Danio rerio: one gene and its partners. The protein of the gene in region 3 interacts with the protein of the main gene of each other region in a biochemical or structural test. Links are inferred from orthologs where the notes say so. Each region holds a gene or a part of one and is shown on either strand. Other genes may lie near its edges.

Region 1 (8,892 bases), on a different chromosome or scaffold from region 3:
GGCAGGGCTGGAGCTCCGGGGTCTCCTGGTTTAGGAAGGATCGATGATGTGCTGGAGACGTTCATAGTACCCGAACCTCCACTCACCATTAGAGCCTCGTTCCCCCGAGTGGAGCTGTAGCGCAGGTTAAAGGATCCCGTCGCCACAGAGGACGAGGAACTGGCTTCGCCTTCAGGATGTAAACACATAGTGGAGTATTTATCATAGTCCGAGTCCATTTTGGAGAAGTCATTGGTTGCTCCTTTTGTGGTCGGGTAAGCCGAGTTGGACCCCGCTGTAATAAGTAAAAATATGAAATACATAAATAAACTGAATGGAAACTAGGGCTGGGCAATATGACAAAAAAAAATCTGAAATCATTATACAAGTCATCACATATCACGATAACAATATTTATTACACTGCTGTCTGGAATACTCGATTGTGATTGGTCAGTTGTGATATTCCAGGGTGTGTTATTCTCAGATAACAACCGCTAAATAACACAATCTCATCCAGGAACTGAGAATGTATCTGCTTGTGTATTACGCAACAGTTCTTGACTGTTTAGTGTTGTCTTGTGAATAAATCATATGTAGGTTAGTATATTCTCCATTCAGCCAGTTTTGTTTCTCTCGGCTTTGCGTTCTTGACTGTTTGGCGCCATCTAGTGTCTAAATAATGCGCAGGTTAGTGTATACTCCATCAGCTGTTTTAGTTTGTGTCAGCTTTGTGTTTTTGACTGTTTGCCGCCATCTAGTGTCTAAATAATGCACAGGTTAGTGTATACTCCATCAGCTGGTTTAGTTTCTGTCAGCTTTGTGTTTTTGACTGTTTGGGGCCATCTTGTGTCTGAATAATGCGCAGGTTAGTGTATACTCCACTAGCTGTTTTAGTTTCTGTCAGCTTTGTGTTTTTGACTGTTTGCCGCCATCTAGTGTCTGAATAATGCGCAGGTTAGTGTATACTCCATCAGCTGTTTTAGTTTCTGTCAGCTTTGTGTTTTTGACTGTTTGGCGCCATCTAGTGTCTAAATAATGCGCAGGTTAGTGTATACTCCATCAGCTGTTTTAGTTTGTGTCAGCTTTGTGTTTTTGACTGTTTGTCTTCATCTAGTGTCTAAATAATGCGCAGGTTAGTGTATACTCCATCAGCTGTTTTAGTTTGTGTCAGCTTTGTGTTTTTGACTGTTTGTCTTCATCTAGTGTCTAAATAATGCGCAGGTTAGTGTATACTCCATCAGCTGTTTTAGTTTCTGTCAGCTTTGTGTTTTTGACTGTTTGCCGCCATCTAGTGTCTGAATAATGCGCAGGTTAGTGTATACTCCATCAGCTGTTTTAGTTTCTGTCAGCTTTGTGTTTTTGACTGTTTGGCGCCATCTAGTGTCTAAATAATGCGCAGGTTAGTGTATACTCCATCAGCTGTTTTAGTTTGTGTCAGCTTTGTGTTTTTGACTGTTTGTCTTCATCTAGTGTCTAAATAATGCGCAGGTTAGTGTATACTCCATCAGCTGTTTTAGTTTGTGTCAGCTTTGTGTTTTTGACTGTTTGTCTTCATCTAGTGTCTAAATAATGCGCAGGTTAGTGTATACTCCATCAGCTGTTTTAGTTTCTGTCAGCTTTGTGTTTTTGACTGTTTGCCGCCATCTAGTGTCTGAATAATGCGCAGGTTAGTGTATACTCCATCAGCTGTTTTAGTTTCTGTCAGCTTTGTGTTTTTGACTGTTTGGCGCCATCTAGTGTCTAAATAATGCGCAGGTTAGTGTATACTCCATCAGCTGTTTTAGTTTCTGTCAGCTTTGTGTTTTTGACTGTTTGCCGCCATCTAGTGTCTGAATAATGCGCAGGTTAGTGTATACTCCATCTGCTGTTTTCATTTTTGTCCGCTTTGCGTTTAATTAACGAATTAATAAAATATTACAGCTCAGAACAATGTTATGTGTCTATTTTGGGGCAAGTAGCAATGTAATAAGCAGGATAAAGTAAATCCAGGATGGTTGTTTTCGCAGAATAAACCCTTTAGTGTTATACAGCAGTGCTCGGCTTCACGTCAGACTGTCAATAAAGCCTCTTGGGATGTATTCTGTGATAACAACCTCCTGGGTGTACTTTATCCTAAACATATCACCCAATATGTGTTTATTGTGAATATGTGGCTAGGGCTATATTTTGGGAAACCACAAAAAGTGCCTTTGCATGTGCTTGCCAGCATTTTCTAGGTAAAATGAACACTACATGGTGGTGTGATGCTGCCGACTTTTGTTCCTTTTAAAGATTTACAGCATAAAGATTTACAGGGACACATTATCAACGATAGCATCGATTTCGCATGGTTGTTAATAGATAAATGCCACAAAAATATCTCAATATAGACGGCTTTTCCAGAGTGGTCAGTTTGCTCTGTAGCTTACCTCGTACAGTGTCATACTTGGGGCGTGTAGGCAGACTTTGGACTGTTTTAGAAACCAGGTAAAAACAAATAAGCAATGTAAAACCATGGTAAAAGAATGTTCCAGCAATGCTCTTTTCTCTACTCGTTTGCATCTAAAAACACTATCGTTGAGTTTAGGGAGGAGGTGTATGGGTCAGTAATATATTATGCCCAACAAGCTGATCAGCTTCTCACATAAATGACATGTATGAGAAAAAATAGCTCAGTCACATATTTGAGATTTGCAAAAATGTAGATGGCGCCCTCTAGTGGACTTGTCAACACAAGCTGCAAGCAGGTGTCAGCGGAATAAGAAAAGCTTTTTAACCCTGTAAAGAGTTACCTTTTAAAGCCTCCAGGCGCTCGTTTTTGACCCGCTGCACCTCGTCTGTGATCCTGGCGATGATAAAGTTGAGCGTTCGGCCCCATTTGATGGACTCGATGAGCATGTCCAGGCCGCGAGGGTTTTCTGCCAGGATGTCCAGCAGTTTGCTGGTGCGTTTCCCTCTGGTGGTCCTGCAGCTGATCTCCTCCGTGTCTTCCCTGGTCAGGATCTTCTTCGAGCGCAGATAATCAAAGTGACGGTCGGCGATGATCTTATCCACCAGGTACGGTCGCAACCTTTCTATGGCCTACGATGACAGACAAGAACTAATGATTACACACTGACAATACTGTGCAAAAGTCTTAGGCTAGTGGCAGATTGAAATAGTTAGACATTATTTTGATCATTAATTGTACTTCAACAGTGAGTTTACTTTCAGAGATGATCTGATCATCATCCAGTCTGTCTGATGGACAACTCGGTTAAGAAGAACTCTGGCTCATCTTGAAGATGCTTCCAAAAACCTACCAGCAAAGCTGTTCAAAGTTTTAGGCACTTGTGTAAAAATGCTGTAAAGTGAAGATGCTTTTAAAAATAATTGATAAATACATTTTATTTATCAATGAACCTATATTACTAAATCAATTAAACATGTGAAATGACCACACTTTGCATTTAAAACACTAAGCCCAATAGCTCATAGTTTTTCAGGGAGCTTTGCAGGGAGGCTATTATATATCAGTATTTTTGAAGCAGGGAACATTTAAGACAGGCAAAAATTATTGGGCATGTGTCAAGGATTTGATCAGAGATTAGTGTGATTTCTCTTATTCAACAAAGATAAATAAATAAATAAATAAATAAATAAATAAATAAATGAATGAATGAATGAATGAATGAATGAATGAATAAATTTGACTTGTAGGCTTGTGCTTTACATATCATTTATATACTGCTACTCTCTGTTGAATTGTAGTGTTTATTAAAAGCGTCTGCCTACTAAATAAATATCTGCTAAGTTAATAAAAGATAATTCTTTTTTATGTTTAATATAATATATTTTACTATAATACATATAGTAAAATAATATAAATATATATATAGCAAATAGTGTTTTTGAACCATACTATAGTTAAGTGTATTGAACTATATATATATATATATATATATATGTATATATATATGTATGTATATATATATATATATATATATATATATATATATATATATATATATATATATATATATATATATATATATACATACATATATATACATACATATATATATATATATATATATATATATATATATATAGTGGCAGATATATATATATAATATAATATAAAATAAATGTATATAAATAGTTTCCCAGTACTGGGTTGGGGCTGGAAGGGTATCCATAGTATAGTTGGCGGTTCATTCCACTGTGGTGACCTCTGAAATAGAGACTAAGCCGAAGGAAAATGAATTAATTAAATTTATATAAATAAATATATTTAGTAAATAGTGTTTTTGAACCGTATATTAAACGGTATAGCAAACTCTTTGTAATGAATGCTGCTTATCAACATTAAACTTATAATCTGTAATAAATACAGTAGTATACGTTAGCAGTGTATGTATAAATTTGTAAACTGTAGTGTATTGAAGTGCAATAGTTATATATAGTATTTAAAAAGAATACACACACACATATATAAGTCAGAATTATTAGCCACCTTTTGATTTTATTTTATTTTTTTAAATATTTCCCAAATGATGTTTAACAGAGCAAGGAAATTTTCACAGTATGTCTGATAATATTTTTTCTTCTAGAGAAAGTCTTATTTATTTTATTTTGGCAAGATTAAAAACAGTTATTAATTTTTTAAAAAACATTTTGGGACAAAATTACCTTTACCTTAAAATTCACCACATCAACCCAATTAAGCCTTTAAATTTCACTTTAAGCTGTATAGAAGTGTCTTGAAATATTAAAATATTAATTAAAATATTATTTACTGTCATCAAAGAGAAAATAAATTCGTTATTAGAAATAAGTTTTTAAAACTATTATGTTTAGAAATGTGATGAAACAATCTTCCCTTCATTAAACAGAAATTGGGAAAAAAAATAAACAGGGGCGCTAATAATTAAGGGGGCTAATAATTCTGACTTCAACTGTGTATATATATATATATATATATATATATATATATATATATATATATATATATATATATATATATATATATATATATATATATATATATATATTACAAGTTTCCCAATACTGGAAGGACATCCGCTGCGTGAAACCTGTGTGGCGACCTCTGAAATAGAGACTAAGCTGAAGGAAAAAAAAAAAAAAAATATATATATATATATATATATATATATATATATATATATATATATATATATATATATATATATATACTTCCCAGTACTGGAAGGGCATCCGCTGCGTAAAACATATGCTGGAAAAGTAATGTTTTTGAACTATACTATAGTTAAGTGTATTAAACTCTTTAGTGAACTCTTTATAAATGAATTTTACTTATCAATATTGAACTCATAAGCTGTTATAAATACTGTAGTATACGTTAGCAGTGTGTTATTAGTGTTACATTAGTATTGTAAGCTACTATTATGTGTAAACTGTATAGTTGTATGTATTACAGTATTGTGACATGTTTATACTGTTGTATTACCATAACAACAACAAAATTACCACAACAGATTAATTCAAGTAACGTTAGCCTACTTTAGCATTGTTCATAAACACTAATATTTGCCAGAATTAAGTTAGTCCACTGTAGTATGTTTTAATGTGGGTTTATTTAATCTCGTAGACCAATATGATTAATATGCTCGTCTTAGGTACTTCATAAAGCAGTTCACACTCTAATAAAGTGAAGTCGGAGTATAAAAACTTGACGAACTCATTTGGAAATCATTTGCTTTCAGGTTTTTACACCTGATAAACGTTTGGTTGCATCGATCAGGTTTGTGGTCAGTGCCCCTCAGCGCTTTCACTTCTACTTTTACGAAGGCATTATCTGATTAATAGATTCTCGATTTCATTAACGCGTTTTGTTTCGTTTTACTCACTTCCTTCTTTATATCGGCCATTTCGTCCTCCGTCAGGTGAGTAACATCCATCCTCTCTTTTCGTTTTGTTGTTTTTCACTACTGTTCAGTTTTTAACTCGTTCCGGTAAGAAAACGGTGCTTCAAATTCCACATCGGCGACCAGAAATCAGCCAAAATGTCCAGACACGAACTTGTTAGCACACGTTGGATCCACTCGTAGTTCTCATATAGTAAAGGGGAACTACCGGCGCTTTAACTTCCTTATTGATAGCCTACATACTTTCTGTGAATGACGCCATAACCCAGCATCACGTCATCATTTTACAGGGGAGAACTTGTAAAATTTGTAAATTATGTAATATTTTCCTTTAATTTGTGATGATGTATATACCCCTACATGTGTTTTCCAATTTAATTCTTTTTACTGTATTGGGATTGTATTTGTGCATTTTTCATACTCTGATAAAATAGTTGGGTTAAAAATACCCCAACATTAAACCCAACTATGGGGTATTTTAACTCAATGCATTGGGTTATTTTAAATACATGTTTTTTTTTCATTCTGGTATTACTCTATTACTATTACTACTATTAATTTTATAATTATGATAGTGTAAATAAATAAATGTCTCCGCTGGGTGCTAAAGACAACAATATTATTGCGTTAAGAGCTTAAATAAACTTTAGAATGCAAAAACAACATTAAGCGCACATATTAATACAGCTGTTCTGTGTCAGTTAAATCAGTTGACTGTTGAAATTAAAAATTCTAACCCAACTGGTTGAGTTATGATATAAATAACCCAACAAAGTACATACTATTTAACCCAACTGGTTGAGTTACTATTAAATAACATAATAAAGGTTAAAAATAACCCAACAAAGCACATACTATTTAACCCAACTGGTTGAGTTACTAATAAATAACATAATAAAGGTTAAAATAACCCAACAAAGCACCAAATATGTTTAACTTAATTATTGGGTTAAATAAATAACTCAACGTTTTTTTAGAGTGTAACATTTGAAACAAAGTTATATCTGAAATGTAAACTGTAAACTTAAAATTGTACAAAAAGCATTTACAAGCTGTGATACTTGCCAAAGGCGGCAGTTCAAGATATTATAATCAACAAAAAAACGTTCTGAGAAGGTTCTCTTTTGGTTATAAAATAGATCCCAAAATTAACCTACAATGAACGTTCTGGGAAGGTTCTCTCAAGGTTATGAAAAAAACCTAAATAAAACCTAGAGGGAATGTTCTGGGAAGGTTCTCTGTAGGTAATAAATTAACCATTGAAAATAGCCTGCAGAGAACGTTCTGGGAAGGTTATATTTTGGTTACCAAAAAAAAAAAAAAAACCTACAGAGAACGTTCCCAGAATGTTTTTTTTTTTATTTTCTGTTATTTTGAAAGTGTAAATGATGGAAATAAAGTTTAACTTTTTTGACACATTAAAAAAATGTCTAATCTGTAATTTAAAGCCTTTTGGAGATTTTTCCATCTTGTCGTGGCTTCTTTATGCACATTAATTCAAATTTTTACCTGGGGCGCCCAAACTTTCGATCCCCACTGTTTATTAGGAGTACTAAATCTGATTAAATAATGGTTAATTTGATAAAACACAAAAGGAAAAGTGTTCATTTGTTAAAAACATACCATTGTTTTATTACAACTCTCTCACAACAGAGGACATTATTATAACAAAATGTGTTCAGCGCTTTTTAGGTGGCATTTCTTCTGGATAAGCTGATATATAAACTTATTTTTTTCTGTGTCTATCAATTCTGTGTGTTTTTCAGTCCAAGCGCATGCTTCAGACACTAAAATGAAGAATAAATGACTAAAGCATTTCCTATGGAGTCAGATCAGTCTCAAAAATAATACATTTATGAAATGATATTCATACATGCATAGCGCAATTCACATTTATAAAATTAAGTTCGTAAATTCAAAACACAATTCATAAATACAACACACAGTTTATAGATTCACAAGTAAAAATCATAAATATTTTCGCCAAATGAACTGGATTTGTGTATTTTTTAATTATATTTAAACTTGTGAATTATATTTTGTAAATGTGTTATTTCTGAGACTGATCTAACTCCATACATGTCGATCAAATCTGTTTTTTTTTTTCAGTCCAAGCGCATGCTTCAAAGATTAAATGAATAACAAATTAATAGAGCATTTCCTATGGAGTCAGATCAGTCTCAAAAATAATTAATTTACTAAAAGTTCATACATCACAATTCACAATTACATAATCCAATTCATAAAATCAAAACACTATTCATAAACGCAACACACAGTTCATGAATTCACCAGTGAATATCATATATAATATTTTCACCAAATGAATTGGATTTGTGTATTTCTGAATCATATTTAAGCAAATTATATTTTGTAAATGTATTATTTTTGACACTGATCTGACTCCATAGATGTCCATTAAATCTCCATCTCAATCTCTGGTCAGATCTGAAACCTCCTCTAGATGCTGCCGTACGACACTGTCTAGAACTTTACTGAACTCTTTGCACGCCGTCATGGCCGCCTCCATCAGTGTGTCCAGGTGGTCCTGATGGAGCCGGGCGTCCATTTGCAACAGGGCAATATTTCCACTACGAGGCAGCAAAGCCAGAGCCAGCGCTGTTCCTCCACCGCTCTCCTCTGCATGACACAGATCTGCCAGCGGGGTGTCCTCCACAAACCCAGCGCTGCACGCACACACATAATCGCGCATGGGGATCCCAGCGTCCACTAGAGCCAATGTAGCAGCATTGACACACGCGCTGTAGTTTCCACCGTCCGCCTGCAGGATCTACAGCGCAGGACAAATCAAAGACATGGTGCTGTTGTAGTCAGTTACATGTAATGTGAATTGTAATAGTATTTAAAGTGTCTTTGGAATCTTGTCATGTACTGCAACTGTAATAATATGAGTTATAGTTTGATCTGGCTCTTACGTTCAACAGAAAAAATTATCACAATAATTTAAAGCCAATATGCATGCATGGATGGATGGATTGATGGATTGTGGGTGGATGGCTGGGTAATTGGGTGGAGGACGAATG
Region 2 (9,032 bases), on a different chromosome or scaffold from region 3:
TAGGTGTGTGGTTATACCTTTAGCAAACATTGGCAATATATCAGGGCTTCCCCAACACCAGGTATATCTGCTCTCATTAAAGACAGAATCAAACTCCACTGGATTCTCCTTCCAGCCTGGAAACACAGGCGCACATGATTGATTTTACACACATAGAAAGCTAGATACAAACACAGATATGACTGCTTACCCTTGGCAACAGCACTAACGTCCTCATAAAAGCCTGCTATTAGAGCGACATGTCCTGGGCGTGATTCAGTAGGGACCCGTGTGTGTGAAACTCCCCATGTGCCGCCCTCTTCAATCACACTCCTTATGACAGGAAACAGCATGAAGGAAAAAAAAAGCACAAATAAATAAAACAATATACCTGTATACACCAAGGGCCTTATTATACACCCGGCGCAATTAGGCGCAAGATGTGTTTGCCGTGGTTTGTTCCAATTTTCAGACCAGTGCAAACCTAATTTTCATGTTTTTGGGCCATGTTGTTTAAATAGCAAATCCATTTTTGCCACTTTGTGGACTCATGAGTGTTCAGCTCTATAAGGGGGGTGCATTAAGGAGCTTTGTTGGAGCGCTGCTATTTTGAGGAACTGAAATATTCTGCGCCACTAACCAAGTCCAGCGCATATGCCATTCCAAAAACACGTACACATTACTTAATACACACAGGATGTGCAGCAATACACAAATATGAAAAAATTTAAGGATTAAAATATTACAAAAATTAATATTTTCTTTATAAATATAACAACCACTACCTCCATGCCCTCTTCACCTTGGGGGGCTTTTTGTATAATTTGCATTTGTATGATGTTAAATTATTAATACTAATATTTATTATACACAAATTTATATTTGTTTTAACAAAGGTTTAGATTTGTCCACCTGTCAGGTTATGGAGACGTATGCAACACCATATGGGGCATAAGAATAGTATGTGTGTTTGGATATAGCTCAGATTTTTGACTACACTTTGTTATTATTGTTAATTTATTCCTTTGCGGGAAATTAGAACTGAATTTAGAAATAGTTCTGAAACAAATCTCTGTGCTTAACAAACGAAATTAAATATGTAGTTTGTGCAACACCGTTTCCTTGTCCACGAAAGTAAATGAGTAAGGTTAAGAGTAAAGTAAAATAAAGAGAAAGTAAAGAGGTCGAATGGAGGTGGCTCATTCTTTATCCTTGAACAGATGGTCTGTTTAACTGTTTTCTCGCTAGTAAAGCATTCAGTTTTTCCACTTACAAAGTTCATCATGTAAATGATGTAAAACGCACCCTGGCATGACGCAACTGACTCTTAAAGGAAATGGGAGATCAGACTTTCAAACAGAGATTGTTTAAATGCACGTTATGCTCAAAACACACCCAGAACTCATTAAGAGAATAAGCACAACCCTGTTAGACCAAACTGTACTGATCTGTCCTTAAAATAGCAAAAGTGGATTCAGTCACGCCCTTAATGCTTTTGTGCCATGCGCTTTAGACTTTGCCCCTAAATTGTTAAAATAGAGGCCCTAATGTATGACAGGCATAAACTGGTGGGAAGGGGAGCTCATTAGTGGTCCTTAAGATGACGTTAAAGTAAAAAGAAATATGGTAAAATTAATAGTAATACTTTACAATAAGGTACATTAGTTCATGCATTTACTAACATGAACAAATAATAACAACACATACAGTATTAAATGCAGCTTTGTTAACTCTAATTAATGGCAATAAAGTTATGTAATCTTAGTTCACATTAACTCACTGTATTAAACAATGTTAACAAGCATGAATTAGGATTTTAATAACGCATTAGTAAATGCTGAACTATGATTAATAAATGCTGTACAAGTATTGTTCATTATTATTAGTTCATGTTAGTAAATACATAAACATTTAACTAATGAAACATTATTGTAAAGTGTGATCAGAAAAACTTTATCCAACAGAATAATGAATAAATAAATACATGCATAAAATGTAATTAGTAAATTAAGTTGTACTATATGCATTTTATTTAGTGTAAACTAAATTAAGTAGTTTTACCTATAAAATACATATCTATTTTGTTTGTTTTTACACAATATACTGTATGAGGATGTGTTTTTGTAAAAATGTAACTTCTACTATGCTATTAAATAGATTTAACACTTAGATACATATAACTCTGAATGAATGAATGAATGAATGAATGAATGAATGAATGAATGAATGAATGAATGAATGAATGAATGAATGAATGGAATATTAAATGCAATGCTTAGGTGAATTTTTTTTTTTTTTATGAAATCATGAAGGATGGTGAATATTTTTAACATTAAGCATGACTAATAGATATTATTTAGACATTAATGACTAACATAAACAATTCTGAACTCTCTGGAGCACATGGGTAAACAGGACAAAGATTATCCAGTGTTCGTCACCTTAGGTAAGGAGCCCTGGATGTCCCACTGTCGTCTGGCTTAAAGAGGCTGTCGGCCCTCAAACCATCTGCCACAAACAGCACCAGGCGCTTGGCCGGAGGGGGCAGAGAGACCCGCTGAGGAGTCATTCCATGGACAAGAGGAGATGTGAAATAAATGTCAAATATGCAGAGAAAGAAGACTACATGCACAATGAGTCCCACAACGAAGAATGTCACCATCTTCATCTTGTCTCCAGTCAGACCTTTGACACTGATTTACAAAAAGAAGATACACAAATGAATTTATGAAAACATTCTGTTATTAGTCTAATAGATTTTTATTATGAATTAGTTTTACATTAGCAGGACAGTAGGTTCAAATAAGTTATATTGTACAACATTTTTTTAAAAGTAACGTTAGGGGTTTATTTAAGATTGTACTTACCTTTCTGCTAATTTGAGATTGAAACAGATTCATAAAGCTGATTAGTTGAAGGTGGACAGAAGACATATAAAGGTATCATGTAACGTTAATCTGTCAATGAAAGCACCGGGCAGAGCAGGAGTGCGCGGGAACGAAACGCCCTGAAGCAAAACCCGCGCATGGGCTTTTAATCTGTTTTAAGGTGCTTTTGTATCTTTGAGTTCTGACCTGCTAAACCAAATAGTTTGTAAGAAGATTAACTGAGAACTTTTCTGCACTTCCTTGTAGCAGTAACCTTTGAACTGTGTCTGCGCAGTGCATTTTGGGAAATGTAGTTTTTAACGCCACGTTAATATTTTCATAAAAACAAAAGAGGTGCTTTAAAATGCCAGCGAGTTTATGACTGTTTACAACTTTATTTGATTCAACTGAAATTTCTCCCTTTTTACAATAAAAAATTGCACAAAAAAAATAAAAAAATAAAAATTTAGAATAAAATATATAAAAAGAAACGTAAATTTTAAATGCTTTAAACAATAAATTAGTTTAAAATAAACAATCAAACATTATATTGAGATATAAAATAAAAAATAAACAATTTAATAATTGTAAAAAATAATGAAATAACTGACACAAATATGAGTACATAACATATTATAAATTATCCAACATGCAATTTTTAAAAATATTAAAACAATTGACAAATAAAGACAAATAAATACAAGTTTAATTAAAGAGGATAATTATTTTTTAAGAAAGTAAATGTGTTAATAATTAATATATTCAGAAATACAATATCATAATTCTATAATATAATACAAATAGAAATAGACCAAATATGACCTCTATTATTTGCAAATAATTAGGTAGATCAATTTTTAACACTATTTTGTCACATTACGAAGTGGGTCATTAAACAGAAATGACATAGATCGAACCATATCTTAGATAAACAACTAAACAAAAACGAATATATCAAGAAACAGTGGCGGTGCCATAGACTGTAAAACAGTAGCGGTCGGTTTGCGTTCAGGACTCTTATTTTGGCATCAATTTTATTCCTTAGTAACCCGTACGGTCGCTCGCTTCGCTTCACTCAGGTTGTAGAGTTGTTCAGAAAAGGAGTACTGCAAGAGCTTTGTTAATTATTGCTAAATGATCTATTTAAATAGTTAGATAAACTACACAATTTTAACATTATCTAGCTCTTCATATTTTATTAATTGCGAGTGTTATTAATCATACTTCGTTATAGTCGAACAGAAGATATAAGCCGACTGTAGTATTAGCTATGGCTGGCAGTAGCATAGCGATGAAAACATGGGAGCTGTCAAACAGCATGCAGGAAGTTCAGAGTATCGACGAAATATATAAATATGACAAAAAACAACAACAAGAAATTCTGGCGGCCAAACCGTGGACTAAAGAGTAAGTAAACAAAACCAAAATGATGTCTCCTAGAGGCCCGGCTTGTTTTCGAATTATTAATACCACTGTTGTGTAACCTACACTGTTTTAATTGTTTACAGTCATCATTATTTTAAATACTGCAAGCTATCGGCGTTGGCACTGCTGAAGATGGTGATGCACGCTAGATCTGGAGGAAACCTGGAGGTGATGGGACTTATGCTGGGGAAGGTGGATGGAGAGACCATGATCATCATGGACAGTTTTGCTTTACCAGTGGAAGGCACTGAAACCAGAGTCAACGCTCAGGCTGCAGCCTATGAATACATGGCTGCTTATATAGAGAATGCTAAACAGGTACACTGACTTATAATTACTCTAAAATTCATATTAGATGAATAGTGATAAATATAAGCACAGTTTGTTTATAAACATGATCATATCCACTGCTTTATATGTGGAGCATGTATGCTGATCTTTAAGATTTTCTAATCAAGAGCAATATCATCACAAATATTTTATTAATTGTTATTTATAATTATTCTGCATTACGTTTTTAGGATTGATCCAATGTTATGTGAGAAGCTACATGTTGTGGTTACCTTTTTAAAACGTGTATATAAAAATTACAATTTAAAGAGTAAAGAAAGTTATTGGTTTGTATTCTGTTTTCATGTTTAGGATTAATAGAGAGAATATATGAAGTAGTTGGACATCTAAATATGTATCGCATCACAGAACCATTTAAATCTAATAAACTCGAATGTGATTTAAAAAAAAATCTAAAATAAAAAGTGAACAGTTACCAGAACTAAAATAAACATGAATTGTATTCCTATACTCCTCTAAAAATCATCCTAGATCTTTTATAATTATTATTTATTTAGTCTTTACTTTCTAATATTAATTGAGAGACGGAACAGAATTCTTGTCACAGGACTTGAAACAAAAAGAAATTGAATGCTATTAAATTAAAAAGGTCTATTTGGAAAGAATGTATAGTTTTCGATACGTTGACATTCTAATGTAAGGGAGTGGGTCCACATAAAATATAATAAACCAATACAGTAGAGAACAAATAGAAAATAAAAGGCAAATAAAATATACAGTGCTTTATGATTTTCTAGAAGTCTAGCAATATTCAGATTTACAAATTTAATAATCCAGTGTGAAACCATTCTAACCATAAAGTTAGAAATGTAATTTCTTTTGCTAGAGTAAATGGTGAAAACGCACAGAAATAGTGAAGGTTTTGGTAACTTTATGGTTGAACGTTGCAATGACTGCACACATCATGAGTGTTTTCAAATGTGGTTCCTGGTCAATTATAATAACGGTTCGACATTGCAGATCCTGCGATGTGACTATTGCAGATGCGCACATTGCGGTATCAATTTTAAAACAGTATATTATGCAGCCCTATTATATAAATATAATTTTTTTTTTTTTTTTATTCAGTTTTCATACTTTACTATTGAGGGACTGCATGCAGTAAGGACACAGATGTGTTTATCACATCAAAGTAATTAATAAATACTACAAAAAATTTAAATACTTAACAGATGCAATACAGGAACAGAAATGAACAAGCAAATTAATTTTTTACTCTAACAATATTTTAAAGATTTTTTATTATTATAATTATCATTAATATTATTATTATTCAGATTGAAAGGTCTAATATTAATTGAGATATATTTGCCATTAAATATGATTTTAAAAATAAAATAAAAAATAAAATTTGACAAGCGACAGGAACTCAAAAATGCACTTTATAAATGTATAAACACATTATGCATCAATTCGCAATAACCAGCATATGAAAGAATTGATATGGAAGTTCAATAATTCTGAGGTTAATTGTCTATATATTTATTTAGGTGGGGCGGTTGGAGAATGCCATTGGATGGTACCACAGTCATCCAGGATACGGCTGCTGGCTTTCAGGCATAGATGTCAGCACTCAGATGCTTAACCAGCAGTTTCAAGAGCCCTTTGTCGCAGTAGTGGTAAGCGCTGTTGGAAATGTTAAACTTGTTGCATATTTTGCTGATTTCCCTCTTTAAAGCGGGTTACCATCCATCTCAAAAGACACAAGGGGAAAACAGCTCCGCTATGAAATAGTTAAAAGTATCGGTTTAAATTCAGCTTTATCAGTGATCCATAATTGACCCTCAAGACACAAATGAGTTGATGACATTTGTACTGCTGTCTGATTAATGACTGTTGCCTTTGTAACAGAATACATTATACAGTTTATCCTTCATTGCTTATGTAGTGCCGAGGGCAAATAGCAAGCTGGCGTTCATAACTTTCACTCGCAAAACTGGCAGCTTACTGTTTTTATTTGTTATATTTGACTGAACTCTTTTGCTAATTTCAGTCCTTGTAATTTTTCATCCTCAGATCGATCCCACAAGGACTATATCCGCAGGGAAGGTCAATCTTGGAGCTTTCAGGACATATCCGAAGGTAGCAACTATTTTTAGGCAACTGTATCTAATTTATATGCGTTTTATAAGATGTTGAATCACATTCAAATGTTTAAAAATAGGGTTACAAGCCTCCAGATGAGGGTCCTTCTGAATACCAGACGATACCTCTTAACAAAATTGAGGATTTTGGAGTGCATTGCAAACAGTAAGTGTGCATGACATATTGAATATATTTCCTTTTTTTTAGCCTTTTTATGCACTTGTTATATTTTGAAAATATATTGACTTGCAGTTAACGATAAGCTGTTGTTTGTTTTTAGGTATTATGCATTAGAAGTGTCTTATTTTAAGTCTTCCCTGGACCGCAAACTCCTAGAGCTGCTGTGGAATAAGTATTGGGTCAACACTTTGAGCTCCTCAAGCCTACTGACAGTAAGCACACACTTTTATTGGTGTAAAATTAATATATATTACATTTAGATATGTGCCAACATCATCTGTCATGTTGGATTACTTAATATAAACGGCATAAATTTAAGTCTAGCCTTTTTTTTTTTTTGCTTGGAATTTGTTCTTAAATCAAAAAATGGCCTGAACCACTGTAAATTGTTACAAAAATATAAATACAAAAAATCCAAAATCTGAATTTCTGACCAGTTTCTAAAAACATCTACAGTAAATGTGATGAAGGGTGACAATATAGCTTTTATGAAGCAGGCATGCATGTATTCATTTCTATTATATAAGAGATTGCAAATACAATGAAAAATTGAGGAGCATAGAAAATCACTTTCAACCTTTTCCCTGTAAATTGTTTAAATTAAAGGGCTTCAGTTCTGAAAGCTACATTATGTTAATTTTAGTTTAAACATTATTATCTTTTCTGCTTGGCACAGAAAGGAAATTTGTCTTTTACACTGGTAACATAAATAAACCGTACAACAATAACATAATAGCAACACTCTTCAAGACAACCATATTAGCCCCATACATATTACTCCAGATTATTCTTAACAACCGCACCGTTCACATTAAACAGTGGTAAGGTTTAATACAACTGCAATAGGGATAAATGACTTCTTATAAGTATTTCTTCATGTTCCATGCATTTTAAGCTTGGTCCCGATGGTAACATTTCAAAAGCTGAGTGAAGGGGATCTGTATTATCTTTAAAAATCACAATTGCTGTTTTTCCCATAAAGGAGTCAAATAAAATCTGTAACGAATGTTGTATGTAAACTGTTTTTGCAATTAAACTGTCAGTTACATTTAGTCATTTAGCAGACACTTTCATCCAAAGCGACTTACAAATGAGGACAAGGAAGCAATTTACACAACTATAAGAGCAACAATGAATAAGTGCTGTAGGCAAGTTTCAGGTGTGTAAAGACAGTGTAAGAAGCAAAACATTAGTACAAGAAGCAAAACATTAGTACAATAATCTCTGCAAAATAAAGTTTTTACAAAGAAGAGAAAAGAATGATTTCAAAATCTGTTGTCCCCAAAAAAGCATTTCCAATGAGAAATTAACCCTCAAATTTTTGCCAAAATAAAGCAAAGTAAAAACAGCATAAATATAATTTTTTTCTCATTTTATAGTTCTATTATTAAGGCTGCATGATGTTGGACTAAAACTCATATTGCAATATTTAGTTTGTCTGCAATGTATATTGCGATAGTAACATACAGTGCTCAGCATATATATGTACACCCTTCACAAATCTGTCTTTTAAATTTTTAATAGGAAGCTTTACAATAATATATGTGTGCATAAACATTAGACTAGTCTGTACTGAAGTCAAATCTGGAGCTTGTCTAACAAAATAACTTACGATAACGGTCCAAAAACTAGTACAGTCAAATTCATATGTTATAAAAAATATTAAATACAAATTTTAAAACAGAAAAAAAAATTAAGTGAAACAAAAAAAAACTGAAAATTTTTGTTGAAATTTTGTAGGTAATAAATATAAATATTTTTTGCATTAATTTGCTTAAATTTAATTGTATTATCTTACAATTTGTAAACATGTTTGGTGACTAAAATATTCTTTTAATAAATATATCTGTTTTATAAATCTGTTTTGTTTAAATGCACCAAAATACATTGCCTATATTTACTGAGAAATGGATACAAATATTCAAAATGGGGTGTATTCAATTATGCTGAGCACTGTAAGTTCACAAGATGGCGTATAACTCCATTTGGAATGAATTCATGTTTTTACATTTTGTACAGTTTTACATTTTGTATTGAACAAATATAAATTCATGTGATGGTTTTCTGCGGAATCTAATAGTATTAAGGTATAGAAATTTTATAATAACAGATAAAATAACAATGTATAGTGTACAGTCTTCATAG
Region 3 (8,290 bases):
GACGCTTCTTTATTTCAAAATAAAAGTCGTCTATGAAAAGATGAGCGCAGTCTGGAAAATGATTTTTAATCAACCGAACATCCTTAATTTCTTATAATGAAAAAATAATGATAATAATAATAATATGATCACGAATCGGGCGACAAGGCGGCTCAGTGGTTAGCAAGCAGGTCGCTGGTGCGATCCCAGCTGGGTCAGTTAACACCTCTGTGTGGAGTTTGCATGTTCTCCACGTGGGTTTTTCTCCAGATGCTCCGGTTTCTTCCACAGTCCAAAGACATGCGGTAAAGGTGAATTGAATAAACTAAATTGGCCATTGTGTGTAGTGTGTAATAGATTGTGTATGGATGTTTCGCAGTGCTGGGTTGCAGAATTTAATGAATGAATTATGAATCTGTTCTGAAACGTTATATTTAAAATGAAAACCGCATTTGACAGTGCAAAGTGCATTCAAATTCAGTAATTGTAAAATATATGCATATTGACGTGTTTTGTTTTTTGCAGGATTTATACAGTATACATCATAAGACAAATCATTCTATTTAAACACTCCTCATGGAAACACTGACATCTGTCTCAGCAAATGAATAATATAGTGTGTGATATAGGTAATCTATTTATCCCCAAGTATTAATATGTCTTATTAAAAGATATGGATCTTTATATAGACTATTTATGAAATACAACAAGTTTTTTTCAATTTTTGCAATGAATTACTGGAAAAGCATTCCATCCGACTGCTGCAATCAGAAGAAAACCTCTTCACAAGAGACAAAGTAATGGATATCAGTTTATTTGTCATGTACAGTAAACACGATAAAACCAAAGTGTTTTTAATAAGATGCTTTTAACCCATGTCTGAAATATCATCCAATAATAATCCAACAAAAACAAAATAATGATATTATGCAAAACATTGTACAACAGTTTTTGTTTGTGTGACACTAATCATCCTCGGGAAAAAAAAAACATGTCTGAAAATGTGATTTAAATAGGGAGTAAGATGGACGAAATTAATTTATTATAATTTGCCCACTGATGAATATCCACATTCAATAACCACCATAATAACCTGATAATAAGATGTCTGCTGTCGTCAATACTAAACTGATCTGAACACGTCTGATAAAACATTCTCCTAAAACTCATTCTCATAGTTGAAGAGTTAATGAATTAATCAACTTAATGATTATTCTGCTTTTCATTTAGACCAATTTAATCCTTTTTTAAAACTTAGGCCTTTAGTAACATTTCAAAATGGCAGTTGAACATGACCAATTTCACTGTTAGTCCTGACACCTTTCCGAACATTCACAGTGAGCCTTTAAAGTGCAGATGCTGAACCACCATATTAAAAAAAACAACAACCCATCACTTAAAATCAAAGTACAATCAGCCCATACAGAGAACGATGGAGTACGTAAATAAATACATTTCTGGAATTACACTGCCTGAATTTAGCTTACATGTTTTTTTTTTTAAGTCAATTAAAAATGCATCCCCCAAAATATATAAGGTTGCTACAAGACTGTACAATCTCATTTGAACTGAATGCAGACACCGACAAAGTTACTTAATGTTGAACGAATCATATGAGTTAACACAACCCCAATCCAGCGGTGATGAATAAATGCATTTAAAAGAGTTACTTCCTGTCACGTGACTCTACAAACGCGGTGATTTAGCAACCAGGGATTCGTATTTTGTCCAGCTCCAGTCCTGAGCCTGTATGAAGGAGAGAAAATATGTGATGTCATGAATTTCTATGCATTTCACAATACACAAGAAGTCTGCTTTTAAATAAAAGCCCCTTACCATTATGCTCTCCGATTTCTCCTCGGTGGTTTCTTGCAGTAAACTGGTGAGCTGAGTCAAGTAACGCTGATTCTCCTCCAGTAAATGATTAACTGAATCACTGGAAATAAACATTCAGCATCAAACATATTGATAAACACAGCCATGGTGCTTTAAAACCAAGGAAGTCATGCTAAAATTACAATAGTAGAGCTAAACAATATTTCATTTCATCAACATCTTAAGGCTCTATTTTGACGGTCCATGCGCAGAGCGCAAAACGCAGGGCGCAAACGCTTTCAGGGAGTGTCAGAACGCGTTTTTGCTAATTTAAGGACGAGAAAATCCACTTTGCGCAGTGGCGCATGGTCTAAAAGGGTTGAGTTTATTTTCTTAATGAGTTATAGGTGTGTTTTGAGAATAAACCAATTAGAGTCTCATCTCCCATTACCTTTAAGAGTCAGCTGCGTCGCGCCAAGAGCGCATTCGCTATTTACAGGACGCAAAGTAAGTTTAAGTGGAAAAAAATGAGCATTTCACAAGCAAACACTTAACAGTTGACAGTTTTTTAACAGAAAACTGTTAAACAGAGCATCTACTGCGTGAGAATGAGAGATAATGGATCTACTTTCACATTCTCTCTTGGATAGGGAAACCTTTACGCACAGACATCAATTAGTCTATAAATAATTAATTTTGTTTGTTAAGCGCAAATATTCGTTTCAAAACTATTTCTAAATTCAGTTCTAATTTCCAGCAAACGAATAAATGAACAATAATAACAAAATGTGCTCAAAAACCTGAGTTATATCCTAAAACACATGCTGTGCCTCATATGGTCTTAAACCTGACAGGTGGGCAAATCTAAGCTTGTTTTTAATAAAACAAATATAAATATGGATATATTAAATAATACTGCTAATAATAATACCATTATACAAAAGCAAATTGTTATGAATGAACTGAAAAAGCCTCCCGAGATGAAGAAGACATAAAAGCAGTGGTTTTTCATATGTATGTAGGCTAGAAAATAATATGTTTCGTAATATTTTAATCCTTTATATTTATATCTATTCTTATTATATCCTATATATATCCTTAATATTTAAATTTTTTCATATGTAAAGATATTTGCCTATTGCTCTCTTGTGCGTATTAAGCCGTGTGTAAGCGAGGCACAACTCTGCGCCGGAGTTTAGACCGAATTAGTTTTGGTCTAATGAAAAATCTATTATAGTTTCTTAAAATAGCAACGCGCCAGCAGTGCGCCTTCCTTTTTAGACCAGAACGCTTATGGGCGCACAAATGAGCGCTAATGCATTTGCTATTTAAACAGCGTAGCGCAACGCCTCAAAACGACTCTTGCGCCAAGCTGAAACTACCAAAAGACTACTGCACCCCGCCTTGCGCCACATTGCGCCGGGTGTATGCTTAATGTGCGTAACTACAATAATCACATCGCAATGTTGAAATCATATGCTGGGATTTTAGTTGACTAAGAGCCACAGTTTAAAACCTGTGGGCTTTCACTGCAGAGTTCAACTAATGGAGTGAAGGTTTATCCTTTGCATGTGTTTTTTTAAGGCTGTGACTGTGTAAGCATTCAGGCCCAAGAGAGTTTAAAGCAGGAGTCTCAAACTTTACCATTTAAGTACAAGAATAAAGTGGAAACCTGATGTGATTGATGCATCTTAGGACAACAGTTAGACATTTATAATTCAAGCATTACCCGTCACCGGTGATGATGCCTTCACATATTGCAATGTATATTTTTCTGTATGTATATTTCGTGTTGTGGCCGACGTGTGTTCAGGGATGGAGCATGCATAGAGGCGACCTAGGCGGCCGCCTTGGGCAGCAGAATAGTGAGCGAACCCCCCAGTCCTCACTTTAATCTGCTACACCCACCCCCTCCCTCACGGTCCTTGTGTACATCTGCGAAACGGCCACTTTCTTTTTCACTTTCGGGTTGAGGGTGGCGTGATTGCCGCTTGCCTTGAGCGCAAGCTCAACTTGCTCTGGCCCTGCGTGTGTTTATCATGCAAAGAAATTTGGATAAGACCAAGTTTCAGTTAAAACAATTAATGTCGCATCACCAGGCTATCCAGCATTTCCTCCAGAGTTTCATGCAATTTCGGGTGTTTCATTTTTAATCTTTAGACTTTAACTGCAGTTCAGCAGTTCACTTTCATTCAGCATATTTTCATTCAGGATGTTTAAATGGAATTTGATACTGCATGGCGAACGAAAAGAAAAGCCTCTGCATTCCGTGACTTGCATGATCCTTTAAGGCAGGGGTGGCCAACCCTGTTCCTGGAGAGCCACCTTCCTGCAGATTTCAGTTGCTACCCATATCAAACACACCTGAACCAATTAATTTGGACCTGAATACCATGTGATAATTACAGGCAGGTGTGTTTGACATGGGTTGCAATCTCCAGGAACAGGGTTGGCCACCCCTGCTTTAAGGTAATCAAAAATCGCTGCTTACATGGTAGACTCTTAATCAGTATTATCTTAAAAAGCGGAGTATTGGGGTCCATGTAAATGTATATCAAGTGAAAGTGGCAGATAAAGTCGCAAACTGTCAAAGACAGCCCTATTCTCTGGCTTCAAGCTGTTTCCATGAGCCCTCACATTTCATAAGTGTGACGTGTTCCCCTCTACACGCAACTTTTGTAAAGCGTCTTCATGTTGCTGTGTCAGAATCCTTGCATGTAAAAGACAGCCATACTTTAGAATGCTTAGTTAAAGCAAATGTGATGAACGCGATTGTGCGTGTTGATGAATCTGAAGGGATTCCTCGCTCACCGTGTGCGCTGCTCTGTGCGTGTGTGTATGTAGTCCACTTAAAATCCAACAAGGAAATCATTTTTGTTTGTTATTTGCAGTGATTGTTTTGAAATTCATAAGGCACTAACATGCCTGTGTTTTTATTTCTGTAATAAATATGGCGTTTCGTGATTAATCATGATTAATTACAAAAAAAGCGTGATTAATTACGTCATTGTTTTAACAATTTGATCATTCTATATTATAATATATATAATTCATAAAAAAGAAGGTCTGGAAGAAAAACATACCCCTCGTGTGGCACTTGCAAGGACATGGGGAGACGGGAGGAACACTGGGCTTGAGTCTGGTTCCACGTAGACAGCGAGGAGGGCATTTCTCCGCTCTGACTCACTGAGCTCCGTGTGGTGTTTTGTGCCTGAATACAAACCAGTTACATTTGTTGATTATGTAAAGAACATAAACATGTATAGCTGTGGATATAGTGGTTATTTGACAACTGCTTTGTATTTAAATTGTTCTTCCTATTAGAATTTAAAAGTCAACATATGGTATTTTATAAAAGTAGTTTGAGTTGTTTACATTTTTAATGGTAATAAATAAATACATGTAAAGCTACTGTTTGCATACAGTGATACAAGAATTTAGCACAGCATAAGCGTAATGCATGTAATCTATGCACAGTTCACATGCACTTTTAATTGTTTTTGCAGTACTTAGTTTGTCCACTAGGTGTCAACATTGAACTGGATTGTTGTTTTGTAGTCTGAAAAGAAACTGAGACAGAAAAACAAACAAAAGATGACCTAAAAGATAGTTTAAAAGAATACTTGCATCTCTTCTTTAAATTTGTATAAAATGGTCAATCACATTGTGTGGAAAAATGGAGTATTCATTAACAGGCTGTGAGGGTATACTATCTCAGTAGTAGAGTTTGTTACAACTCATCTTCCATCAATGAAAAGTTTGGGTTTAGAAAGATTTGCAGAAATGGCTGAAAGAAGTCTCCTATACTCTAGTGTTATTTTAAAATATGCTCAATTTCTTTACTGGTAAAGCTGAATTTTCAGCATCAGTACTCAAATCTTCAGTGTTACACAATGGTTAGAGTTAGAAAAAGGCTTAGGTTTAGCTGCATGCGATTATGTCAAAAACTATGGTAATTACAACTTTAAGTATGTGTAACGGGTAACAATTCTAATATACTCATTTGAAGCTTTATTGATCAATGTTGAAAATGGTTGTGCTGCATAATATTTATGGAAACCATGTATATTTTTAGGATTCTCTAATGAGGTTTAAAACAACAGAATTTTATTATCTATACAGGGCAGCCACAGCTTGTGTGTTTAATAGTTCAAAATAGCTTAATATTCCACTCTGTGGATATTCTGCTCATGTAGTCATACTTATTTTCTATACACATTAAATTCTATTAAAAAAAACCCAGAAACTTAACGCATTACTTCAGGATAAAACTATCCACTTGTTTAGTGTGGTTTGACATCATGAGAAGCAGCTTCTGGATTCAATCGCCATATCACACTGTATAGGGAGGCTCATCAATAATAAACGTTTACAAAGTAATACATTACTTGCGAAAATCATGATTGCAATATATATATCCATGCCTAATATCCGATGGCCAGAAAGTGATTAGTTTTGTGTACTCTTGAGTACACCATGATTTTATATAAAATTCCCTTTAATGTGATATGACTAAAAAGTGATCATAAATGAATACTTTCTCAATTCAAATGAGTAGCAGAGTCGTCCACACAAATGTACCCATTTCATACTCTCCTTTCAGAAAATATTAAACATTTGCCCAGCCTTTCTGGGTACATGCTATCTGCACTGCAAGTCAATTACAAGCACATGTTGACAATTTTACAATCAAAGATGTCACTTCACTATGCCTGTTTAGTCTGGTTGTTCTGCTTGTCAAAGAAATTGGCGCGCTGTGACGAGGTGCAAAATTTTGGCATTATGATTGGCCAGATCACCTGTCAATCAAACTGCCTGCAAAGGGTCAATTGCATAACCGTTACAGACCAATGTTATCTAAAAAGTGTTAATATTAATATCTTTATCTTTCACCCTACTGTTCTTTATAGCTTGGTGCCATATTGCCGCTTACTAATAAGTAGGTTACTGTGGGCTATATTCAGCCGTTTTTATGTCAGCTGGGTCTACTTGTTTAGTTTTGAGGAAAGAAGCTGTGTAATGAACAGAATAATGTATATCTAGCCGGTTCATTTTGCAGAATATGCCTCAGGTTTTATTTAGTGAGAACAATGACCAAGACATACAATATTCCTTACTAAAAATCACACCTAACTTTTAAATGGTGTAGTTTTTTGTTTTACTCATTTTGTAATATAAGATTTCGGTCTGACCACTAATGTGCATATAACCCTACCCCTGGAAAGTCCGGGATCATGTGGCTCATGTGCAAATTAAAAGCATATCTGTCCTTCAGACATTAAAAGCATGTGACTCACACAGGCAATCTTCAGTAAGTGCCAGAACTCTCTCTGTCTCTTGATCTGCATCTGCATGACTGTGGTGTCTGCCTCCTTTATGCATTCCAGCGTTCTCTCGATTTTAGGGAAGAGGTCGATGATCTTCTGCTTACTCAGAAGGATTTTACTGCAAAGGCCAAATTTGAAAAGTAAAATACCTTAACTGTATAATCCATTTGAACATAAATGAGTGGCATTAAAAGTTTTTTACCTGAGGTGTGCATATAGATCTCTTAGCACCCGGTCTTGATTCTGGACAGTCTGTACTATGACCTTCACCATCTCAGAGCTGTCGCTGTAGCCATGCTGAGGGTCTGGCACTAGAGGAAATGAAGAACATACATTATACACTGACCCTCTTGACTTACTAATGCAACCAATGATGATGCATTACTTTCTTTCGAGTATTTGACTACTTGGAAAAGGACACAGAGGGATTGTCATTGACTTGAAAAGTAAATATGCAAACAGAATTGTACTCACTTTTGCATTTTGCCTTCAACTGTTTGTAGAGTTCAATGGCTTTCTCTTGCCTGTGATGAAAACAAGATTTTATGTCAAAATAAATGCTGATAAACTTCACAAAGCTTATTTCTGAACAAAGGTTCTCACAACTGCTCCATGACATCTCCTTGACGACGAGCATAAGGACTTCTCTGTAACTCAACGATTTCCGAATGCAACGCCATTATTTCCTCATCCAGATGACCAATCTCTGCCACCTTCAGAAGATAAAAAAGTTGTTTTAGTTGTAGTTAAAACAAATGTAAACCCACATACAAATACATTTGCACAACAGATATGCTGGTCAAAAAGATTTTTTTTTTTACAAAAATGTGAAATCCACTTAGATGACTATTTATTAAAGGTTTTAAAACTACTTTGTGTATCATTCATTCACAGCACCTGTGCAAAAGCAGCAGCCCTCTCTTCATTTTCGTGCCAAGCCTTCAGCATCTTTTCTGAAGCTACAAAAAAAATGGATTATTACTAATCAATAATGCAATAACACATTTTTAGCTTTATCAACAAAGCAGCATATTCAAAAACGTACATATGCCATACTGCATCTGATCACTGTATTTCTCCAAGTCGTACTGTATGCTGGTCTTAAAAAAGTCCAGCTTTGCTTTGAGCTGTTGTGAAAAGGAGAACATCATGTTCTTGTATCTTGTCAA

What was found.
Region 1: the proteins of chuk (region 3) and bcl10 form a complex in vitro, tested with the Homo sapiens proteins (2 studies listed by BioGRID, with this or other methods). The link is inferred for Danio rerio from reciprocal best matches to the Homo sapiens genes CHUK and BCL10.
Region 2: of the proteins of chuk (region 3) and cops5, one has a biochemical effect on the other in vitro, tested with the Homo sapiens proteins (2 studies listed by BioGRID). The link is inferred for Danio rerio from reciprocal best matches to the Homo sapiens genes CHUK and COPS5.

Annotation. Positions count from the first base shown.
Region 1 is NC_133177.1:2,089,933-2,098,824, reverse strand, and holds the start of bcl10 (B-cell lymphoma/leukemia 10), read right to left. Parts: upstream 6,061-8,892; 5' UTR 5,882-6,060; coding exon 5,831-5,881; intron 3,304-5,830; exon of another isoform or gene 3,192-3,303; coding exon of another isoform or gene 3,168-3,191; intron 3,042-3,167; coding exon 2,753-3,041; intron 275-2,752; coding exon 1-274. Other genes in the region: exosc4 (exosome complex component RRP41), read right to left, coding at 8,280-8,639. UniProt on the Homo sapiens protein: Plays a key role in both adaptive and innate immune signaling by bridging CARD domain-containing proteins to immune activation.
Region 2 is NC_133199.1:27,633,547-27,642,578, forward strand, and holds the start of cops5 (COP9 signalosome complex subunit 5), read left to right. Parts: upstream 1-3,936; 5' UTR 3,937-4,116; coding exon 4,117-4,253; intron 4,254-4,354; coding exon 4,355-4,589; intron 4,590-6,112; coding exon 6,113-6,241; intron 6,242-6,638; coding exon 6,639-6,704; intron 6,705-6,786; coding exon 6,787-6,872; intron 6,873-6,987; coding exon 6,988-7,099; intron 7,100-9,032. Other genes in the region: pign (GPI ethanolamine phosphate transferase 1), read right to left, coding at 18-116, 191-312, 2,421-2,647. UniProt on the Homo sapiens protein: Probable protease subunit of the COP9 signalosome complex (CSN), a complex involved in various cellular and developmental processes.
Region 3 is NC_133188.1:28,589,947-28,598,236, reverse strand, and holds the end of chuk (inhibitor of nuclear factor kappa-B kinase subunit alpha), read right to left. Parts: coding exon 8,167-8,290; intron 8,081-8,166; coding exon 8,019-8,080; intron 7,835-8,018; coding exon 7,725-7,834; intron 7,646-7,724; coding exon 7,596-7,645; intron 7,433-7,595; coding exon 7,324-7,432; intron 7,240-7,323; coding exon 7,092-7,239; intron 5,006-7,091; coding exon 4,878-5,005; intron 1,916-4,877; coding exon 1,816-1,915; intron 1,726-1,815; coding exon 1,666-1,725; 3' UTR 778-1,665; downstream 1-777.